2 linked regions of the Chlamydomonas reinhardtii genome follow. The protein of the gene in region 2 binds, or shares a complex with, the protein of the main gene of each other region. Links are inferred from orthologs where the notes say so. Each region holds a gene or a part of one and is shown on either strand. Other genes may lie near its edges.

What was found.
Region 1: CHLRE_02g086700v5 (region 2) and CHLRE_17g721900v5 share a complex: the UniProt entries of both Arabidopsis thaliana proteins name them as parts of the conserved oligomeric Golgi complex. The link is inferred for Chlamydomonas reinhardtii from reciprocal best matches to the Arabidopsis thaliana genes EYE and AT1G67930.

The regions. Positions count from the first base shown.
Region 1 is NC_057020.1:3,175,161-3,185,013, reverse strand, and holds CHLRE_17g721900v5 (uncharacterized protein), read right to left. Parts: upstream 6,377-9,853; 5' UTR 6,261-6,376; coding exon 5,625-6,260; intron 5,389-5,624; coding exon 5,299-5,388; intron 4,968-5,298; coding exon 4,791-4,967; intron 4,495-4,790; coding exon 4,340-4,494; intron 3,991-4,339; coding exon 3,834-3,990; intron 3,606-3,833; coding exon 3,430-3,605; intron 3,129-3,429; coding exon 2,640-3,128; intron 2,440-2,639; coding exon 2,286-2,439; intron 1,988-2,285; coding exon 1,797-1,987; intron 1,573-1,796; coding exon 1,341-1,572; 3' UTR 915-1,340; downstream 1-914. Other genes in the region: CHLRE_17g721850v5 (uncharacterized protein), read right to left, coding at 8,002-8,188, 8,492-8,660, 8,877-8,934, 9,148-9,339, 9,458-9,631. UniProt on the Arabidopsis thaliana protein: Required for normal Golgi function.
Region 2 is NC_057005.1:1,773,558-1,783,563, forward strand, and holds CHLRE_02g086700v5 (uncharacterized protein), read right to left. Parts: upstream 5,926-10,006; 5' UTR 5,838-5,925; coding exon 5,321-5,837; intron 5,037-5,320; coding exon 4,904-5,036; intron 4,566-4,903; coding exon 4,520-4,565; intron 4,343-4,519; coding exon 4,154-4,342; intron 3,925-4,153; coding exon 3,775-3,924; intron 3,607-3,774; coding exon 3,407-3,606; intron 3,178-3,406; coding exon 3,090-3,177; intron 2,879-3,089; coding exon 2,762-2,878; intron 2,593-2,761; coding exon 2,239-2,592; intron 1,993-2,238; coding exon 1,801-1,992; intron 1,640-1,800; coding exon 1,457-1,639; intron 1,261-1,456; coding exon 1,018-1,260; 3' UTR 632-1,017; downstream 1-631. Other genes in the region: CHLRE_02g086750v5 (uncharacterized protein), read left to right, coding at 6,156-6,280, 6,366-6,429, 6,548-6,635, 6,960-7,072, 7,458-7,534, 7,806-7,924, 8,110-8,873. UniProt on the Arabidopsis thaliana protein: Required for normal Golgi function. Necessary for embryo development and pigmentation, especially for the expansion of cells and organs, and for the formation of the organized shoot apical meristem (SAM).

The sequences.
Region 1 (9,853 bases), on a different chromosome or scaffold from region 2:
GCAGCAACTTGCCCATTATGGTGGCAATGGCGGTGGGCCACGCAGGAGGTTCAGCAAGCACATGAGTAGGCACACATGAACTGGGGCGCATCTGCTTGCACCGGATTGCAAGCGTACACAGTGGAGACTCTTAGCAGCTGCTGTTGTGCATGGCACACAGGGCGACCTAAATGGGTTCATTTCAGTAGGCGCAAATGCCGTGCCTACGAGGGCGCAAACGAATGGAGTTACCTTGCTTGGAGACGGGTAGGCGTGGAATGCGTTTTGAGGACGGTTTCGGTTTGGACGACGGCACTCCCGTATTGATGCCCCACGGCTGACATGTCACATGGCGTGGGTGTCGTGCACGCAGCGAGATTGTCTTTGGCCTGGGTTCCCACATCATCTCTTACCACTTTCAGACGGTATCGTCAGGACGTCAGGTGCGGTGTAAGGGCGGCTGCGGGCTGGCAATAGCCTGCTCTAGCCGGCGGAGTGTGGTTTCGCAAGTTCAAGGTGGAGCTCCATGAGGGTACACGGGTCAGCCAAGGGCAACGTCGGGTTGGGTGGGGGCACTGGGGCTTACCCCAACACAGGCTGGCTGGGGGCAGAGGTAGGTGGTGGCCTTGCGTTGTAGCTTGGTATGGCCTCAGTGCGTCTCATGTATGGTAGTCATGTTGTTAAAGAGGTATGGTGCATCGTCGGACTGCTGATGACAACTTGTAGGCGTGTGTATAGGTGTGTGTGGCGAATCTGGGATGCAGCTGGCGCAGTGGCGCGTAGGGCTCCACGCCAGCCCTCGTCAACCCCGTGCGGCTGTGTTTGCCCAAGCGCACTGGCAACCCTGCCGAACCGGGTTAACCGGTCCGCTTGGCTTTCGAGGACGGATATCCCAGAGCGGCGGTGCCGAGCAGAGCGGGGACGGCGGGACGCGGAGACGGAAGTTACAAGGGCTTGTCGCACGTGGAGGGCACTGTAACAACAGCCGTTGCCCGTTTGGGTCAGCGCACCGCACCCATGTGCACATAATCGTGCGGCTAACCAAGCTTACGTGCCCTAGCTCCCCACCTGAAGGCACGAGGCACAGTCTTATCATCTTTCAGTAAGGTATGAACGCTCCAAGGGCCAAGGACGCGAAGCGTCTGGTCTACATGAGCTCTGAAGGGAGAAGGGCTAATTCGAAGGTCCAGGGCAGAGGCATGGGGGCCACGATGCTATCGCATAAGATTGCACCCGCATCTTCCACTGCCTACCGCTCCCCTTCCCTGCCTCCACCAAACCAAATTCCGCACCCACGTACACGCACTTCGTCACCTCTAGGCTCTAGCCCCGCCACACAGCCACCCGTCTGCTGGTCATCGTCACGCCGCGTCCACGGCTGCACACATGCGCTTCATCACCGCCAGCGCCTCCGCCGCCTCAGCGCCGTCCTCGCCCGCCGCCGTGGACACCGCGGCGGCGGAGGGCGCGGCCGCCAGCGCGGCGCCGATGGAGCGCAGGCACTCCTCGCTGGTGTGGGAGTCCAGCCACAGCGAGTACTGCAGCGGCGTCAGGCCGGAGCGCTGGTGCGGCGCCTGCACGTTGGCGGGGAGCCTGCAGGGAGCGGGTGGGTGCGGGTGGGTGGCAGGGTGGGTACGGGGGCTGGCAGGGTGCGTCAAGGACGGGCGTAAGGACTGAGGAGGGCCAGACGGGGGCTGGAGGGGCAGCCAAGAACCAGGTGGCCGTCAAAGCCAGCAGTACACTGACCCGTGCGACAACGCCCATTCCTTTGCGCACTTGCGACCCACAGCCGTCGTGCAAGCCCGCAGGTCTCGCACCTGGAGAACAGGTGGTGCAGCGTGACCGCGGGCGGCAGCTCGCCCAGCAGTGGGTTGGCGGCGATGCCGGACGCGGGCGTGAACAGCAGCGCGCGGAAGGCCTTGACGGCGCGGTACGGCTGCCCCAGCTGCTCCAGCGGGTGCAGCTGCTGCCCCACTGCCGCCTGCAGCTCCGCCAGGTCCTTGGCAACCTGCGTATGCGTGCGTGCGAGGTGTGGGTGCGTGCGGGCGAGGTGAGGCGTGGCAGAAGGACCGTGAAAGGCAGCATGCGCTGTCGCGCGCCTTTGGCTTGTTTGGCACCGTAATGGATGGGGCAACAGATTAGCCGCTCTAGTTCCAACTGATGCCAAGCATGCGCCAGGAATACTGCGCCTGCAGCCTCTGCATGCTCATCGGCGGCTGCAATTCTTTCAAGCAGTCAAAGGCCTTCCGCTGGTTTCGCATGTTATGATGACCAATGGTGCTACACGTACGCGTACGCTACCTCACCAGCAGCTTGCCGGCCTGCGACAGCGGCCGCAGCAGCGCCGCGTGCCGGACGAAGAACACCAGCAGGCGGCACGCCATGCGCTCCACCAGGCTGCCCACACAGCTGGGCATGCTTGGCGAGGGCGGCGGCACGAAGCGCGACAGGAACTCCGACCTGCACGCACGACAGGTGCGGGGCGGTGTTGACGCGCGACAAACATCAAGGTGGTGGGTGATGATCTTAGTGCCACACAACCGCAGGCGGCAGGCTACCTGTTTCCTCTCGTGTAAACCCGCGCCGTCCATGCTTATACCACTTACCGAAGCATGGCCAGCAACACCCCCAAGCAGTTTCCTACAACGCCTCTCCCTCACCTGAAGTCTCCAAGCAGGGCCGCCGCCTCCGCCACGTGCGGCGAGGTGGACGTCACGTCGCCGCTGTCGCCCGCGCCGCCGTACCCGGGCCACTCGTGCATGCGCAGCAGCCGCTCCTCGCACGCCTCCACCACCGCCCGGAAGATTGGCGCCACGCAGTCCACCGCCGCCGCCTGGACCGCGCCCAGCGCGCCGCCCAGCGCCGGCGCCGCCGTCGGCGGCAGCCGCGCCAGCAGCGTCGACAGCGAGCGGTGCGTCTCCTGCAGCTGCGAGCACAGCGCGATGTTGCGCAGCTGGGAGGCGTTTGGCGACACGGGGCCGTAGGCTGCGGCGCCGCCTCCCGGCGCCAGCTGGCGCAGCTCGGGCCCGGAGGCGGCCGAGTACTCGGCGCGCTCGGCCAGCAGCGCCAGCGCCTTGGCGGCCGTGGCGGCCATCATGGCGGCCAGCTGCGGCGACGAGGCGCCCACCTTGAGCTCCTCGTGCATCAGCCTGTGGGGAGGAGGGGGAGATATATGGGGTTGTAGATACCAGATCAAACTAAAACCGAACCCAATGCAAAAGGGGGGAGGAGGGGGTAACATGCCCGAGCCACACAACTACGATAGGTCCCAATGGTCAAGGGGGGAGCCGTAGGGACAGCGGGGACTGCGGGGAAGCGGAGGGGACGGCAGCATGCGATATGGCGCGTGTGGTGGGAGCGTGACGCCAGGCAGAGTATTGGTGCAGTACCCAATGTTAAAGTCGGCGCCCTGCGTTCGGTCATGCCCCGAAGCCCGAGCCTTGCACGCACCCGATGCACTTCTGCACCTCTGTCGCGGACGGCAGCTGGCGGCTGCTGCCGGGGAAGGCGGCGGCCACGGCGTCAGTGAGCCGCGACAGGCACCCAGCCATGTAGGCGGTCTGGAAGGGGCTGGTGGCGGCCAGTAGCTGCTGCAGCTGCGCCGGGCCCACAGCCGGCAGCACGCCCTGCGGCATAGGTGGCGGGCGAGGGCGAGGGCGCCGGTGACCACAAGGGGGAAGCTAGGTCACTGTGTGTGCTACTTGCTAACCGCGCGATGGGCCCGGCCTGGCAGCGTGTTATTCGATTATCATCTCTCATCACCTCCTTACACACTCACCCTTGCCCTTGCCCGCGTCCCGTCCGCGCAACAGCCATCACCCTCCCCCTACCACCACCGCCACGGCGCCACCCACCTTGATGGTGGTCTCGGCGGTCAGGCGCTCAAACATGGTCTCAATGAGGCCCGCCAGGCGCGTGTAGGCGGCCGTGAGCGTGTCGCGCACGAAGCCGCCCTTGCCCGGCTTGGCCACACTGGCGAAGGCGTCCGTGGTGGCGCGCACCACGTCAGACCTGCAGGGTGGAGCGGGTGTGGCGGGCGCCGAGGCCACACGTCGGGACAGCCGGGGAGCGGCAACATTCGCGTCGTGGCGAAGCTGCCAGGCCACATGACAGGATGGCACCGGCCCAGCCGTAGCCCCCGCGCTGGGTGCGGTGGGCAACGCCCGTCCGTACTGCAAGTCGCATCCCTCTCCCGTACACACACCAGCTGCGCGCCCGCCTGGCCCACATCCAACAGCGCGCCCGCCTGGCCCACATCCAACAGCTGACACAATAACCCCTGGGCACGACGCGGCCCGCTCTCCCTCCCTCCCCCTCCCCCTCTCCCTCCCCCTCCCCCTCTCCCCACTCCCGCACCCACCAGAAGCGCGCCACCAGCAGCGGCTCGCCCGGTCCCACCAGCACGTCCAGGAAGCACACGTGCGACAGCGGGTCGCGCTTCTTGGCCACCACGCGCTGCAGGTGCCACACCGCCACAGTGCTGGAGCTGATCTGCTCCAGCACGTCGCGCAGGGCCTGAGCAGGGCGGCGGGAGGCGGGCCGGGTGGGGGGGGGGTGTAGATGCCAGCCCAAACTAAACCGAACCCAATGTGGGGGTGGGCGGGTTGGACTAACTTGTTATTGTGGGCGAGTGCCGAGTACTACGTGTGGGCTGGACACAGGTTTTGGTGATGCCAGCACGTAAGAGGCGGGTCGTGTTGCTCATGGGTACGCACACAGGTGACGAGGCGCAGTAGCGAGGACGCAGCGTGCCGGCGCTGGCAAACGGCTGTGACGCCGCAGCCGTGTGAGGTGAGGAGCACCGCACGCACCTGCCACATGCGGTCCTGCGCGCCCGGCGCCGCCTGGCCTGGCCGCCCGCCCGCCGCCGCCCCCGGCGCGGCTGCCCCCGGCGCGGCCGCCTGTGCCGCCAGGTGTCGGCTGTCCAGCGCGTTGCGCAGCGCCTTCTCGATGTCGTGCAGGTGCCGCGACAGCAGCCCGTTCACCGCCTGCGTGAGACGCCGCAGTCGCAGCCATGTAGGGGTTAGGATCAGGGCAAGACACCGCATGCAGTGCAGTCGTTGCGGTGCGGTTGCTGGCCGAGGCGTTTGGTGCCGACACCTATGCGCTCATCATGAGCGGCGCTTGGTCAAGCCCAACCCTCTGGCTTGCGCCCGACCCTTGGCACCAACCTAAGCACCTTCCGAACGCGCGTGCCCCAGCCAGCGGCCCGGCCGCGCAACCCCGGCAATCCTTCCTCAGTCGCTGCTTGCCGTGCGGCAGCAGGAGCAGGAGCAGCAGCAGCTGCTGGCGGCGGCGGCGGCGGCGCTGTTCCCTCACCTGCTGCAGCTCCTCCAGGTTGAATATGACCTGCAGCGCCGAGCCCACCTTGGCCTGGCTCAGAGACTCCACGCCCTCCACCAGCGCGGCCTGTGTGGGGCGGGGATTGGCATGGGTGGTTGTCGGGCCAGTCAGTGTGCAGCGCCCACCGCCCACCCAAGCGCGGCAGAGCGAAATGCGCATCCCAAGCATCTTTCATTTGACGTGATGCGGGCATGTACGCCGCCCAGGCAAGGTAAGAAGGTGTTTGGGTGGTAACACGGCGTGCAGCGCGTGCTGTGCGTCCAGGCCATGCAGTCCCTCCCAACACCCTTGTTAGTGCCCACCTCCGCCTGCTCCTGCACGGACTTGCGGGCCGACTCCAGAAACTCCGCATCTGCGGCCACAGCCTCGATGGCGGAGAGGTCCACCTCGGCGTCCACGTGCCGAATGTCCGTTATGAGCTTGGCTGCCTTCGCAAGGTCCAGCTGCGCTGCTGGCACCGCGAGCTGAGCCCGCAACTTCTGTGCAAGCTTCAGGCGGTGGATAACGTGCCGTAGGATGTCCACGGTGGCGTGGATGTTGCGCAGCTGCTGCGTCTTGTGTTTGATCTGCTCATAGGGCCCCACCACCTCAGCGCGGATGCGCCGAACAGCGCTCTGTAAGGACTCCACTGAAAGCACCACATCCCGGACCGAGTTTTCTGCGTCCAGCATACGCCGGACGTGATGCAGGAGCTCCTTGTTCCGCGCGACCACCTCGTCGGACAGCGCGGACTCCAACTGGTGCACTCCATCGCGCAGCTGCTCCGATTGAGCTGACGCTGTTGTATGCGAGCCACCAAGAACCTTAGAGGTGAACTCTGCTACGTTGAAATTGTTGTCTAGGAAGGGCTGGAAGCGGGGCAACTGCAGCAAGTCGCTGCCCCCACTAGTGCTAGGACCCGCATGGTTGTCATCGGTGCTATCACCGCCTTTGCCCATCGCGTCAATTGCGAGAGGTTCTGGTGCAGAGCTTTGTCAATTTGTGCGCAACATATCTTCGTGTTCAAGGCCAGGCCTGCGAGTCAAGCTTCAACCAGCTCCTTGTATATTAGTATAGCATAGATTAGCAGGCTGGCACAGCGGGTGAAGCGGGGCTGAACTTCAAGCACGTACCAGCGCACCCCTCAGATTGGACCGCCGACGGCCCCCTCCGCCAAGCTCGCCACCCGCGTGTCGGCGCACGGCTTCCAGCATATACCGTACTTGCTAGTCAGCTGTAGTGCTAAGCCAAGCGCTCGTATCCTGGATGCACGACGCGGACGTCCGCTGACGCGCGCACGGCGCCGCACGTCCGCCGGAACAGGCCGCTAGTGGCCTTGGATGCTCACCCAGTCCTATCCCCTTTCCCTGCTCATGCTCGCGGTCGTAGGATGCACGGCACCAGTGTACCTGCACGCAGCTGTCCGCAACTCTGCACCGATGTGGATGTGCGGAGTTCCCGACTCGGCCTGTCGGACGGTTGTGCCTCCCACCTCGAGGATCCCACACGCTGCTCTGGCCCAATCCCGCCGCCGCCACCAGGTGGCTGCCCCTGTGGGGGCCACGGCTGGGGCCCAGAGCCCTAGAGCTCCCTACAAGCTGGTGAGCGGATTGCAGATTTGCAGCTGTTACTTAATCTCCTGGATTGTAGATTTGTAGTTGCGCCGCGCAGGGGGTGTCCTGGCGCTGCACCATGAAAATGCATCGTATTGAGTCGTCTTCACAGCCTGTCTTGGGCTTACGTTCCGTAGGCACGCCTAGCCAAGCCTGCTGTATCAAGATTGTATACGGTGACAGAACCTGATAGCCAGTGTCCACCGGCAGCCTGCACCCAAGACGCCTCTTCTAGACATACAGAGCGCCAGAGCTCGAGTGTCTGCCACACGCACAACCCGCTTACGGCATTGCACTAATGCCGACGTCCCCAGGCTCCGTCACCTACAGATCATTACGCGCCGAGCGGACATGCCGCATGGCGTGCGCATTGTCAGTGAGTAGCTCTGCCGCTGCCGCTCCAATTGCTGCTCCCACGCAATGCCCAGTCACCACAAGGAACGACCCGCACCACAGGAGGGAGCCCGCCTGGCTGTGGCCGCACACGAGCCGGCTAAAAACGACCTGTATGCCTGGGCACCACGCAACTCCCACGCACCATGCAAAACAGCATTGACCGCGTCCGCAAGCGTCGGGTCGCCTGCACCGCTGGAGCCCCGGCCCCCACTGAATCCTATCATCCACACTTGCCGCGCCGTAACTTTGTTTCGCACCTTCCCGAAGTCCTAAACTGGGACCATAATCTGCAAACTCGCTCAAAGGTGCACGCAATCACGACAACAGCGCTGCCACACACCAGCATCCGCAATGAGGGCGATGCCAGGTTCGGTATGTTTCCGTGCATGCAAAGTATGCTGATAGTGATGACCCCGCCGTTGCGCTTCGCCCATGCGCAAGTGCTGATGAACCGCGCTGCCAACCATCACCGTTTGACTGTTGTAGTCAAACACCCGGCATAATCCCAAAATGTCTAACGCATGGTAGCAGTGCGCCCCCGCATGCCTGTACACACCGTGCCCACCTGTGCGCATACTTAACTGTCACGATCTCGGGCGAAAATTATATGACGTCCTGGCTTGGGGTACCGTGAAGCGCACCTCTTAGTGCAAGTCGTGACACACACCAGTCCCCCTGCACCCCAGTCCGCTCACTCCTCGCACGCCGCCTGCGCCTTGGCCGCCTGCTCGTAGTAGCGCTGCGCCAGCTTGCCTTTCCCGGCCTCGCTGGCGGCCTCGGCGGCGGCCTCCAGCAGCTCCGCCGCCTTGGCGGGATCGGGTGCCAGGCCCTCGCCGCCCGACAGCAGCAGGCTGCCGTAGCTGAACAGGATCTCGTACCTGCAAGGAGGCAAGAGCAAAGAGACTAACTAGACTATGCGAAGACGACGAGCATGAGCACGAGAAGCAGCGGGGGCGGGGCGGAGAAGGACGGTGCGGTGCCCGGGTGCTACGGAAAACGCCGCGCGCCACGGGGCCGCGCCCAAACATCCACGTACTCCAGCGCAGCGCCGCCAGCACCCCCAGCACCCTAGATCGGTTCAACGTTAACCCCAGCCCCCCAGCACCCCGCCCCAGCCCCCCAGCACCCCGCCCCAGCCCCCCAGCACCCCAGCACCCCCCAGCACCCAGCACGCCACCCACTTGGCGGCGCTGGCCCCCGGCAGCGCGGCCGCCTCCTCCTCCGCCTGCAGCTTGCAGCGGTGCAGGAAGGCCTTGCTGGGCCGCAGCTCCTCGATCTTGGGCACCCGCAGTGCGGACAGGTTCACAGTGCTGCCGGCGGACCCCAGCATGGGCAGGTCGGGCAGCATGCCTGCACGAGCCAGCGAGCGTGGGGGCGTGGGCGCGAGCGGTGTTCTTCAAGTCAGATAGGCCGTGGCGGTGCACTGCCGTGCACAGGGAAGGTCGCATACAGGTTGCACGGGCTGGCCAGTTCGGCGACCGTTCGACCGCACACTGGCAGGAATGATGCAGAAGCGCGACCGCGCACGGTAGCAGCGACAACCCCTGGTGAGACCGCCTAACCCACCTGCATCGCTGTCCCGGTCGCTGGCAGCGCGCATGACCGACATCTCGAACTGCGGCTCCTGGGGTGGACAGAGTTGGGTTGCATGGTTGGAAACCAGTCGAAAAGGTGGAGCAAGGACACAAGGGCGGAAACCGCGGCCGGTCAGCGACACGCACATCAGGCCATCAGCACGGCCCCAGGCAGAGTGCACCTTCCACTGCCACCGCCCCGCCCACCGGCTGACCGGCTGCACCAGCCGCACACCAGCCCGCTGCCCCAACACACCACTCACGTCGTCGCTCTCCGCCTTCCCACTGCGCCGCTCGCTACCGTCCTCCGCGTCCTCCTCATCGTCCTCCTCCTCCTCATCGGCCTCGCGGATGACATCGTCGCCTCCGCCGCCCGCCTCCGCCGCCGCCTCCTCCGCCTCCGCCGCCGCCAGCAGGTCGGGCAGCGCCAGGGCCGCCGCATACCACCGCGCCGCCTGAGGGAAAGGGGTGCAAGATCCAGGTCTCATGGGGATGGTGAAATACCGTAGATCTCCCCCCCCCACAGACATCATCCTGCGCCACGTAGCCCGCCCCCGCCCCCGCCCGCCGCACCTGCGCCGGCTGCCCCAGTCCGTCCAGCACCTCTTCCCCGAACAGGCCGCTGCCGGAGGCGTAGGCGCTCGCAGCCGCCAGCGCCGCGCCGCGCACGCCCCGCTCTGCCGCCAGCAGCGTGCAGCGCCAGGCCACACGCACGTGCGCCTGGAACAGCCGCTGCTTGGTGCCCACCTGCGTCATGGTTGTGGAATGGTGGGGGGAGGGCGGCTCGACGACGACGGCGGCGGCGGCGGCGGCCAGCAGTTCGTTGGGGTGCCATGGCGCACGGCGCGCAACCAACCGACGTGGCGCAGGCGCGGCCGCAGCGCCAAGGCTGTTCACATGCACACTAGCATCGCACCCGACACCAGGTGGTGGTGGGAAACAACGCCTTCCCCCCAACAGATCCCCTAA
Region 2 (10,006 bases):
TTTCCCGGGATCCAAACGATCCGCACTGGTGGCACGGTGGTCGGCGCCAATGATATCCTTGGAGTGGGTATGACGCCTGAGGGGGCGCCTGAGGGGATGACCGACCGGGATGACCGATTGCGGGATGGCCGGTTGCGGGATGGCCTGGGATGATATTGGGTGCACGGCCCTGCCCGTGTCGATGTGGACGCGATGGGACATGGCAAGGGGCAGATTGTTGTAGGCACGTGGCTGATACAGCTGAGCCCCGAGAAACAAGTTACGCCCAACCCAGGCGTCGATCAAACATGGAAGAACGTCGCGCCCGCCTCCGTAACTGAACGTCTGAACGCAACGAACTTCCCATGACTCCGACAGGGCTCAGCTCATTTTCCAGCTAGCGGCAGCGGCCCTGGGCCCAGCAGTGTGCGGCATGCATGTGCGTAGCAGAGGGGGCGAGCAAGGCCACGTGGAGGATATGGTGACCAGCTGCTGACGTGCGCGTGCTGACAAAGCTGGCGGAGTGGCAAGCGGGTTCGTGTGCCCAACGCACTTTGGCATGAGCTAGCAACATGCCAAGCAACCGCCCGCCAATCTTGACGATGGCGCCCGCATACGTGGGGGGCCGTGGCCAGTGTGCAGCTCATGCTGCCTCACATATATGTTACAGAGTCGGTAAGCGGTCAAATAACTGGGTTCCCCTGCAATTGGCGATCTTCCGGACACGGCCACCGACCGACCGGCCGACTCAGACACTCAGCTGCTTGGAACGCCGTTGTGTGTGTGATGGGACAGGGTTCAAGGCAGGTTGGCGAGGTCCCGTAGGGTGCAGCCGATGCCCAGACCCGTAAGCAGACAGCAAACAGTTAGCAGTGGCAGAGCGGCAGTGCAACGCCGTTGTGTGCTTGAGCCCTGCTCAATTGCTGGGACCCTCCAGATTCGAACACTCCGCCGCTTGCAATGCAGCAATGTCGCGACCACGTAAACATCACGAACACTGCGAACGCTAGCACAGTACATTACACCAGTATCACCCCGCTACGACTGCGCCGGCGCTGCCGCCACCGGCTCCAGCGCAATCCGCCGCATGCCCGCCAGCGCCCTGAGCGCCGGCCCGTCCGCCGCCCCCTCCGCCAGCGCACCCCGGCCCAGCTCCGCAAACTCCTCTGGGGCGGCGCCCGCCAGCAGCTGCACCGTCAGCAGGCTGGGCGGCGGTGCCACGTGCAGGGCGCCCATGACGTTGACGAAGTACTCGACGTCCGTGGCCAACTGGCAGCCGCCCTGTGTTGTTGTGGGACACCGTCATGTGTGGGCACGATGTGTGGGCCAGTGGTGGCCAGATGCCGTCAGGTGGCGAGCACGCGTGTGCACGTGCGTACGCGTACATGTATGTCTTTATGTGCTAGCAGCATCCTATGCCCCGACCAAGCAGCCGCGGATCTCCACAAGTTCCCCAACTCTCCCGGCGCATGCGCACCTGTTGCCCCAGATCGCCGATCTTGAATATGGCGTCTGCGTACATGGCCGCCGCGCCGCTGACCGCCTTGTCCAGCCACTCCGCCGCCAGCTCCTCCCACTCGGCCGCGCCGCCGCCGCTGGCGTCTGCGCCGCCCGCCGCAGCCGTCGCCGACGTGTCGTCGCCTGTGTCGCCCATGAGAACCTGTGGGCGGGTTGCGGCAGTGCGGCAGAGTAAGGAACCACGGCATACTGCTGCTCATGGTGTCTAGGTCGGAAAAGCAAATGGGAGTGAACCCAGTCTGCTCTCATTACTGAGCTGTGGCTCCCTTGTGACTCCCCGCCCCGCGGCGTGTTCGCTCCCACCTCCAGCTGCTGCGGCATGGCCATCAGGTGGTCCCCAATGGCGGTGACGTAGGGCAGCGGGTAGGTGTTGAAGGACGGCAGCGGCGCCGCCGGATGCGCCGAGCCCTCCGCACCCTTGCGCCACTCGGGCAGCACCGGCAGCGACGCCAGCAGCGACGCCACACGCGCCAGCAACACATCGAACACCGTGGACTGCAAGCAAGCCAAGGGCAGGGGGCGTCGGACAGCATTCGGAACGAGCGCCAGCTGCCGCGCTTCCCAAGCTCCTGCCGTCTCCGCACCCTCCCTCTTGACAACGGGGGGGGGGCCTAGTCGTTGGGCTCGGGCATGAAGCAGCCACACCCCTTTCGGTCACCCCACTCCACCCGCAGACAGTCCCTGCGACCCCGTCATTACGGCATCGCTTTCCCACCCGCTGGGCCCCATCCCCACCCGCACCTGCACCGTGGCCGAGAAGCTATCCAGCGCCCCCACGCTGCCGGGCAGCACCATAAAGCGCGGGTCACTCAGGCCGGACCCCAGCTTCATCAGCTTGGCCAGTCGCTCGCCGCGGCCCGCCACCAGGCGCAGAGCCACGGGGTCCGCCTCGGCGGCGCCGCTCAGGCCGGCGGCGCCGCCAGAGGGCGCGGAGCTGGAGGCGAAGGGCGTGCCGGAGGCGGCGGCCGCCGCCGCGGCGGCGGCGGCTGGCGCCGCTCCGGACACGAGGGCTTGCAGGCGGGACACGGCGGCGGCGACGGCGGTGCGCAGTGCGGCCTCCAGTCGGCCCACCGCTGCAGACAGCTCGCGGCCGACCTGCAGAGATCCAATCCTTACGAGGTCGAACACTAGAAGGCGTAAAAAGGCGCATTGGTCACGGACAGAGCCACAGAAAGACACGCTGCCGCCGGCTCCTGCCCTCAGCACACTACACGCGGCGTGGCCGCTGCCACCCCTCGCTCGGGGGCACAGAATCCCCCCTCACCTTGATGAGCTGCAGTACGTTGGCGATGTCCTCGCCGTCCTCGGCCGCACTGGCGCCGCCCGCCGCACCGGCAGCAGCGCGCGCCTTGTGCTTCGCGCCCAGACCCGACACCGCCGACTGCCAGGCAGCGGCAAAGTGGGCAAAAAACGTGAGGAGGTGAGATGAGCGCAGGCCGCAGCTCCACCACCTGCCGTGGTGCTGGAGGCCCCCCTGCCGGCTCTGCCGCGTGCTGCCATTGCCTTGCCTGCTTCCCCCTGCCCCCTGCCCCGTGCCGCACCCGCCCTCGCACAACGCGCACCCAATCCAGCCCAGCCCCCACCGCCCCCACCTGCAGTGCCGCCAGGTACGCGGCCAGCTCGCCGTCCACCGCCTTGAGCAGCGCCCGCACCTCACTGCCGCCCGTCAGCGCGTTGCAGCTGCGGGTTCCGGTGGTAGTGGTGGTGGTGACGTGCATGGGGGCCGGCCGGCAGGCATCATCGTGTGTGCGTGTGCAAGCGTGTGCGTGCACTTGTGGAAGCAATAATTGTAGAGCCCGGCCCGCGGCCCAACGAAGCCACATCCAGTCCGGCCATTTGATAGGACACACACGCCCTCAAGCCGACATGCCCAAGCCAGCAGCACACCAGCCGCCGCACCCACACCCACCGCTCCACGGCCGCATGCAGTGCCGCAAAGGCCGGCCGGATGGATGTCGCCAGCCGAGACACCGCGCCCTCTGCCTCGTCACCCGCCGCCGCCGCCGCCGCCGCAGCGGCGGGCGGCAGCGCGGCCCTGAGGTCCGCCGCCAGCTGCGCCGCCTCCAGCTCGCCGTACGCCGCTACCTTGTCCTCAAGCGGCGCGTACACCTGATGTGGTGTGGCGTGGTGTGGTGTGGGGACATGAAGTGTGGAGACTGGAGATTGCGTGTCATGTGGAGCTGGAGCTGAGCTGAAGCTGAAGACATGTCCATTCCCTGAAGCCGCCCAGAAACCCAAAACCCATCACTCTCTTCTGAACCCCCTGCTTTCACTCACCAGCGCAATGACCTCCCTTCGCCGGCCCGTCTCCACGTCTCTCAGCAGCTCATGCAGCGCGCGGCCGAAGCCGCCCACCTCGCGAGCAAAGCCCGCCAGCGGCGCGATGTGCGTCACGGGAGCCAGCCGGTCGCGGGCGGCTTTGCTAATCTGTGGCGGGATAAGGGAGAACGAATGACACAACGGGTCCGATGCCATCGGCGCTATGGCCTTTCTTGCTTTGATCATACAGAGGTTGAGACAGTATTTATGCACGCAGGCACGTCCTCCACCCCGCCACTCCAGTTCACGGCAGCTCGCCGCGCCCCTGCACTCCTGCCTGACCTGCCTCCACCCTCACCCGCCCCCTGCCCGTGTCCTCACTGCCGACCCGCCCCACCTTTGTGAACACCGACAGGCACAGCGCCCCCAGCAACGCCGCCGCCTGGCCCGGCAGCACCGCCGCCGCCCAGCGCGCCTCCGCCTCCAGCAGCGCCAGCAGCCGCGACAGGAAGGTGGCCAGCCAGGAGGCGGCGCCCTCGGGCGCAGCAGCGCCGGCAGCCGCCACCTCCTCCCATAGCGCGTGGACCTGCGGTTGGGTGAGGTCAGGAAGCGCACAACGAAATGTCAGCGATATGGTGACGTACAAAGACAGCGTTGCAGGCGCCCGCTCAAGACCCCCGGCTTTTCTGGCTCGCTGCAAATCCGCCCATTCGCCAGCGCCCGTCCCCAGTCCTTCATGGCCATCTGGCCAGCCTGCACCCACCTTGGCCATCTTGGTGGACACGTACAAGCTCTCAATCGTGCCGTACCTGCCACGACACACACACAACCAGGCGTACGACGTACAGCATTGGCCCACTGCACAGTCACGGGTGAGGACTGCCTGGAGGAGCTGGTACGGCTTCAATCACTGCCTCCGCCAGTCGCCACTCCTAGTCAACCTTCCGCTCCGGAACGCATTCACGCGCTCCGCTCTCCACCAAACGCCGTGCCCAGCGCCGTATCGTTGCAGTCCCAGCGCCCCCTCTGGCTCGCGACTCAATACGGATTCCTCCCTGTGCCGCGCATCCGGCGCCCTCCGTTTCCTCCCCCGCCCGCGCTGCCGCCCCCGCCTTCCGCTGTCGCCCCCACCGCCCCCACCCCGCACCTGTCCACCGCCAGCAGCAGGCCGCACAGCTTGCGCATGGCCTCGTCGTCCGCGCCCCGCGCCAGCGCCTCGCCCAGGCTGCCCTCCACCTGCGTCTGCAGCCGGTCCTCCAGCGCGCGCAGCTTCTGGCGGCCTGCGTAGTCGCGTCGGGGCGGGGCGGGCGGGTCATGAGGCGATTGCCAGGGTGGCAGTGGCACACGGGTATGGCTTGGCGCTTGGTGTTGAAGGTGGGGTAAGAGGTGGTGGGTGGGGAGGTGCGCGGGGGGATGTGTGGAGTCGGGGTGGTGGCGGGGGAAGGCCCCCACTCCTTGGGAGTGTCGCAATGGTGTGTTGGCGCGCAACAGCCAACGCAGCCTGAACAGACCACCTGGCAAATACACGCGCACTGCCGGTCCCCGCCGCACGCTGGCGCCTCACCCGCGCGGAACTCGGGCACGTCGCCCACGAGGCTGAGGCTGCGGCGCATAGACGCCAGGATTTCAGCCACCTTGGGCAAGTCGCCGGCGGCAAAGACCTCCTCCACCTTGACAAACAGCCCCGATAGCTCCGTTGCCTCCTTCAAGGAGTTGCAGGCGTTCTCCATGTTCGCTTTGACCAGGTGCAGCTGCGAGATGTGCTCCACGCTGCCGCGCGCGTCCGTGGCGTCGCGCTGCACGCTCCCTGCCAGCACCTGGACCTGATCCTGCATTCCCTGGATGTCGCCCTGGAGGCGGTAAATCTCCTGGATAGCAAAGGGTATCCGACGCATAGCCTGTGCGCTGTTGTCGCTGAGCGTGGCCTCAATATCCTCCGCGTTTAGCTGCAGGCGCATTTCCAGCTCCGCGAGGAACTTCTCAAGCGGCTCATCCGTTGCTTTGTTATTGCACGCATTGTTAATCCAGGAGATAGGGTCAAAGCCGTCCTCCCCAAATGCTTCGTTGAGGATATCGGCCATTTTGGCGCAGTTGGTCTCCGCACTCCGTGTTGAGTTCTCCTACTTCATGACTAGTACTTGGTGCCGAGGGGGATAGTAAACGAGCGAGGGGTTGGCGAGGGGTAAAACATGTGAGCAGAACTAATTGCTTCGGTTGGGGTCGCATGGGTTCTTCTTCTCTGCAGGTGTCAAACTTACTGCTGTACTTTGTATCATACTTCAGAGACAAGAACTTAGAAGCACTGTGCCTGTATGCCTGCTTTGCGAGTCGTTTCCACAAAACTTCTTTCGCCTGCGTGCAAGAGCATTAATGGACCTTTAAATTTCTACTTGGACAGCATGGCGGCAATCAGTAGCAATGGACTCTACCGCACGCGGACGCACTTCGCCGTGGAGCTGCACCCAAGCACTGTTTCCGACGTGTTGGGCGGCGTCAAGGAGCAGCTAAACGCTCATCTACTTAGGTGTGTGCAGCAAGCTTCAATTTTCCCTCGCAGTGGAGCCGTCGCGCCGCCGAGTCTTGACGTGCAATCGGCGACCTGCTTGCAGATACGTCGACGAGTTCGAGGGAGTGCTTGTGGCCTATTCAAATGTGCAGATTCTCACAAAGCAGGTGCGAACGAGCCGGTCAGCCCAAACTGGTCACCAGCATGCACTGCGTGCGCCGCCCAAAGGCCGCGACGCTGTCAATTAGACTACAAACAGTGCGCATTTCATTCTCGTGCGTGCAGCCTGTCATCCACCCGTACTTCCCCTACTTCCACCTCGACGTGCGGGCGGACGTGCTGCTCTTCAAGCCATCGCCCGGCATGACTCTGGGTAAGGTCGGCACCGGCTGCACCGCTGCGGGCAGGGCACAAGTGGCCAGCACTCGGAAGGAGGCGGGTACCAGCAATGACAGGGTTACAGGCTAGGGGTATGGCGATCGCGCGTCTGTCCATGAGAGACAGCTGCAGGCTCGACGTGTGGGGTTGGGGGCTGGTGGATGCTCCCCGACTTCTCCTCCGCCGGCCTGCCACACGGCCACATGTCTGCCTCCAGACGCCGCAGCCGCCGCCTTCCTGACCCTGCTCCCCCCTCTGCTCCTCCTCCTCCGCCTCCTCTCCTCCTCCTCCTCCTCCCCTGCCCGCCTCCCCTTCGCAGTGGCTCGTGTGAACCACCTGGGCGAGGACTACATCAGCGCCCTGGCCCTGGGCGTGTTCAACGTCACCATACCCACACGGGCCGTCATGCCGGAGCTGCACTTCCTCCGAGAGGTGGGGCGGCGCGGGTGTGGTTAGGTTGAGGGGCAGGAAGGGCAGGGAGAGTAGGGGCGGCAGGGAGGGCAGGGAGGGCAGGAAGAGCGGGGCACGAGCATTACGTCACAAGGTGTGAGGAGTTCGGGGCGTGGGCTTGCGACTTCGCGGCACAGGTGTGGGGAACACTGCAGGTGGGAGGCTGCATGAACATGGTGTGAGGGGGGCGCGGGGCGGGGGCTCCTCGGGCTCAGGCGGGGCTGCGGGAGGCCGGCAAGGTAGCAAGCAGGCAGGTGACAGCTGCAGCACGTCAGTTGCCCAGGCGCCATGCAGAGACGGGGAGGCCCCGGTGGGGCGCGTCATAAGTCATGACGGTGTCATCCGCACCTGTGTGTGGCGCGCGCAGGAAAACAAGTGGATTCACAAGGTCACGCCGCAGCACCAGATCCACGAGCACAGCTACATCGTGTTCCGAGTGGAGGAGTGAGTGGCGGCGGCGCGGGGGGCAATGGGGCATGCGGCGTGGGGTGGCCGAAGGGGGTGGTGGGCAGGAGGTCAGGCATGCAAGCAGCAGGCAGCATGCCACTTGCACCCGTCTGTGGCGTGTCGGGTGCAGCTGGCAGACCTCAGAAGGGCATGCGTGATGACCCGGGAGTCCGACTCGTAACAATTAGTCCGGCCTCTCCAACCCCGACATGGCTATCCCAACCTGCGCCTCCCCTCTGCCGCCTTCTTCTCTCCTCTCCGCCCCCAGTGTCAAGGACAACGGCGGCTTCTTCCAGATCAGCGGCTCCATGCGGGAGCCCGCCACCGGCGCCGCGGACTTCCTGCACCCGGGCGTGCAGCTGCCGGAGCCGCCGGCGGGGTGGCCGGGTGAGTGGGACGGGGCGGAGGGGCCACAGGGGGTGCAGGGGAGGACTGGAGGGCAGGACTGGTGAGGCTGAAGGGGTTCGTTTGCGCACCAGCGTGAAGCTGCGGTGGTGGCTGCGCCAATCGCCGGGCGCCAAACATGACACGTCTCGCTGAAGCTCCCGCTTTCCCTGACACAACCCCTGCAGCAGACCCGGTTGCCTCTCCACGCGAGGACGAGGACGGGGATGTGGTCATGGGTGGCGAGGGCGCGACGCCGTCGGGGCGGGGGCTGGCGGCGCTAGCTGCCGCTACTGCAGCGGTGGCGGCAGCAAATGGCAAGCCGGCACATGGGAGCAAGGAGAGGCACGGCAAGGAGGGGAAAGACGGAAAGGGCAGCAAGCGGGAACACGGGGCGGATGGCGAGGCTGCGGCGAAAAAGCGGAGAAAGACGGACGCGGGCGCAGTCCCGGTTGGGGAGGCGACGCCAGGAGCCGCGGCGGCGCCGGCTGCGGCAGCAGTAGCAGCAACGGCCGCAGCAACACCAGCGGCAGCGGCAGCCGGGCCAGACTCGACGAAGGAAAAGAAGGACAAGAGCGAAAAGAAGAAGGAGAAGGAGGAGAAGAAGGAGAGGGAGGAGAAAAAGAAGGAGAAGGCGGCCAAGAAAAAGGAAAAGGAGGAGAAGAAGAAGGGCAAGGCGGTGGCGCCGGCGCTGTCTGCGCCGCCGCAAGTCGGTGCGGCGACAGCAGCCGGAGCTGTGCCGTCAGCGGCGGGGCCCGCGCACACCACCGGGGCGGTGGCGAACGGCGGTGCGGTGACCGCGGCGACGCCACAGATAGCCACCGCAAACGGTGTGACGCCCGTGGCAGACGCGTCTAAGAAGAAGGACAAGAAGGATAAGAAGGAAAAGAGCGGAAAGAAGGAGAAGAAGGAGAAGTCCAGTAGGAAGGAGAAGAAGACGGCAAGCGGGTAGCGTCTGTTACTTGAGGACGGTCCACTTGACGTGGTGGGGTTCGAGGCGATGCTGTAATCATGAGGGCTCATTGCGTTAGTTAGGCATTTGACCATTGCCCCCAGAAAGGCACAGCGGGCGTGTGGGGAGCCACTTCTGTGCATGCCGTATGCTGCAGGGACGGCATAGGCAGGCATGCGGCACAGGTGCATTGTCGTGCGGTGTAGCATGACGGGACCTGGTGGTGGACTAGACTAACAAGACGGGACTTGATTACACGGGACTTGACACACGTGTGGTGCTTCCGACATGTGCGGCTTACGATGGCGGTTGTGGGACACCGACCGCGTGTGACAAGCGCTTACGGATAGCTGGAGCGAGACGAACAGGCAGACGCAGGATGTGTGCAGCAGTGAGATGTGTGACCTCTGGGTAGGTGTGACCTGAGCCCAGCTCACTTCTTGGGCAGGCCGGCAACAACGAACGCGGCATGCGCTGTGCCGCAGTTGATGCAGCTGGCAAGGTGCCACACCCCACCACAGCAGCGGTGACGGGCGTTGGGTGTCATGTGTGGAAGCTCAGGATGTGCGCGTCATAATGTGTTTGGTGCGATGCAGCGGATACGGCACGCAGGGTGTGTTTGAATGGGTATGTATCGGTTGGGGTGAGGAGTCAGGAACCTCAGCTGGGTGACTGGGTGAGCACCATGGCGAACATCTCAATTCTCGAGCCACGCCGGCCACGCACGCAACTTTGTACAACGCAAGCAGGACGCAAGCTTGCCACCGTCGATTCGTCATGTTGTGACTCGCCCAGCCAGGTGCTAGCTACTGTGCATACGGCTTTTCACACTGGCAAGCACTGGCCATACTGTCAGTCTGTCACGCCATATACGGCGAGTTCGCGTGCCCCGCGGGTTCTGTACCAGTAAACGCTTTTGTAGCATGAGACTGCGGCAGTCACGTATTGCGATAGGTCTGGATAGTTAATCGCTGGCTACCGTCCCCTCCTTTCCGAGCATTAATGAGGCACATCTGTATTGCCCCCGGGGGAGACGCCAACATAAGGGCGGGGGGGCGGTGTAGGTGGATGTGGGAGGCGCACTCGCATGCATCAGGTGCACGCGGCAACGCTACGTGTGCCAGCACGCGTGT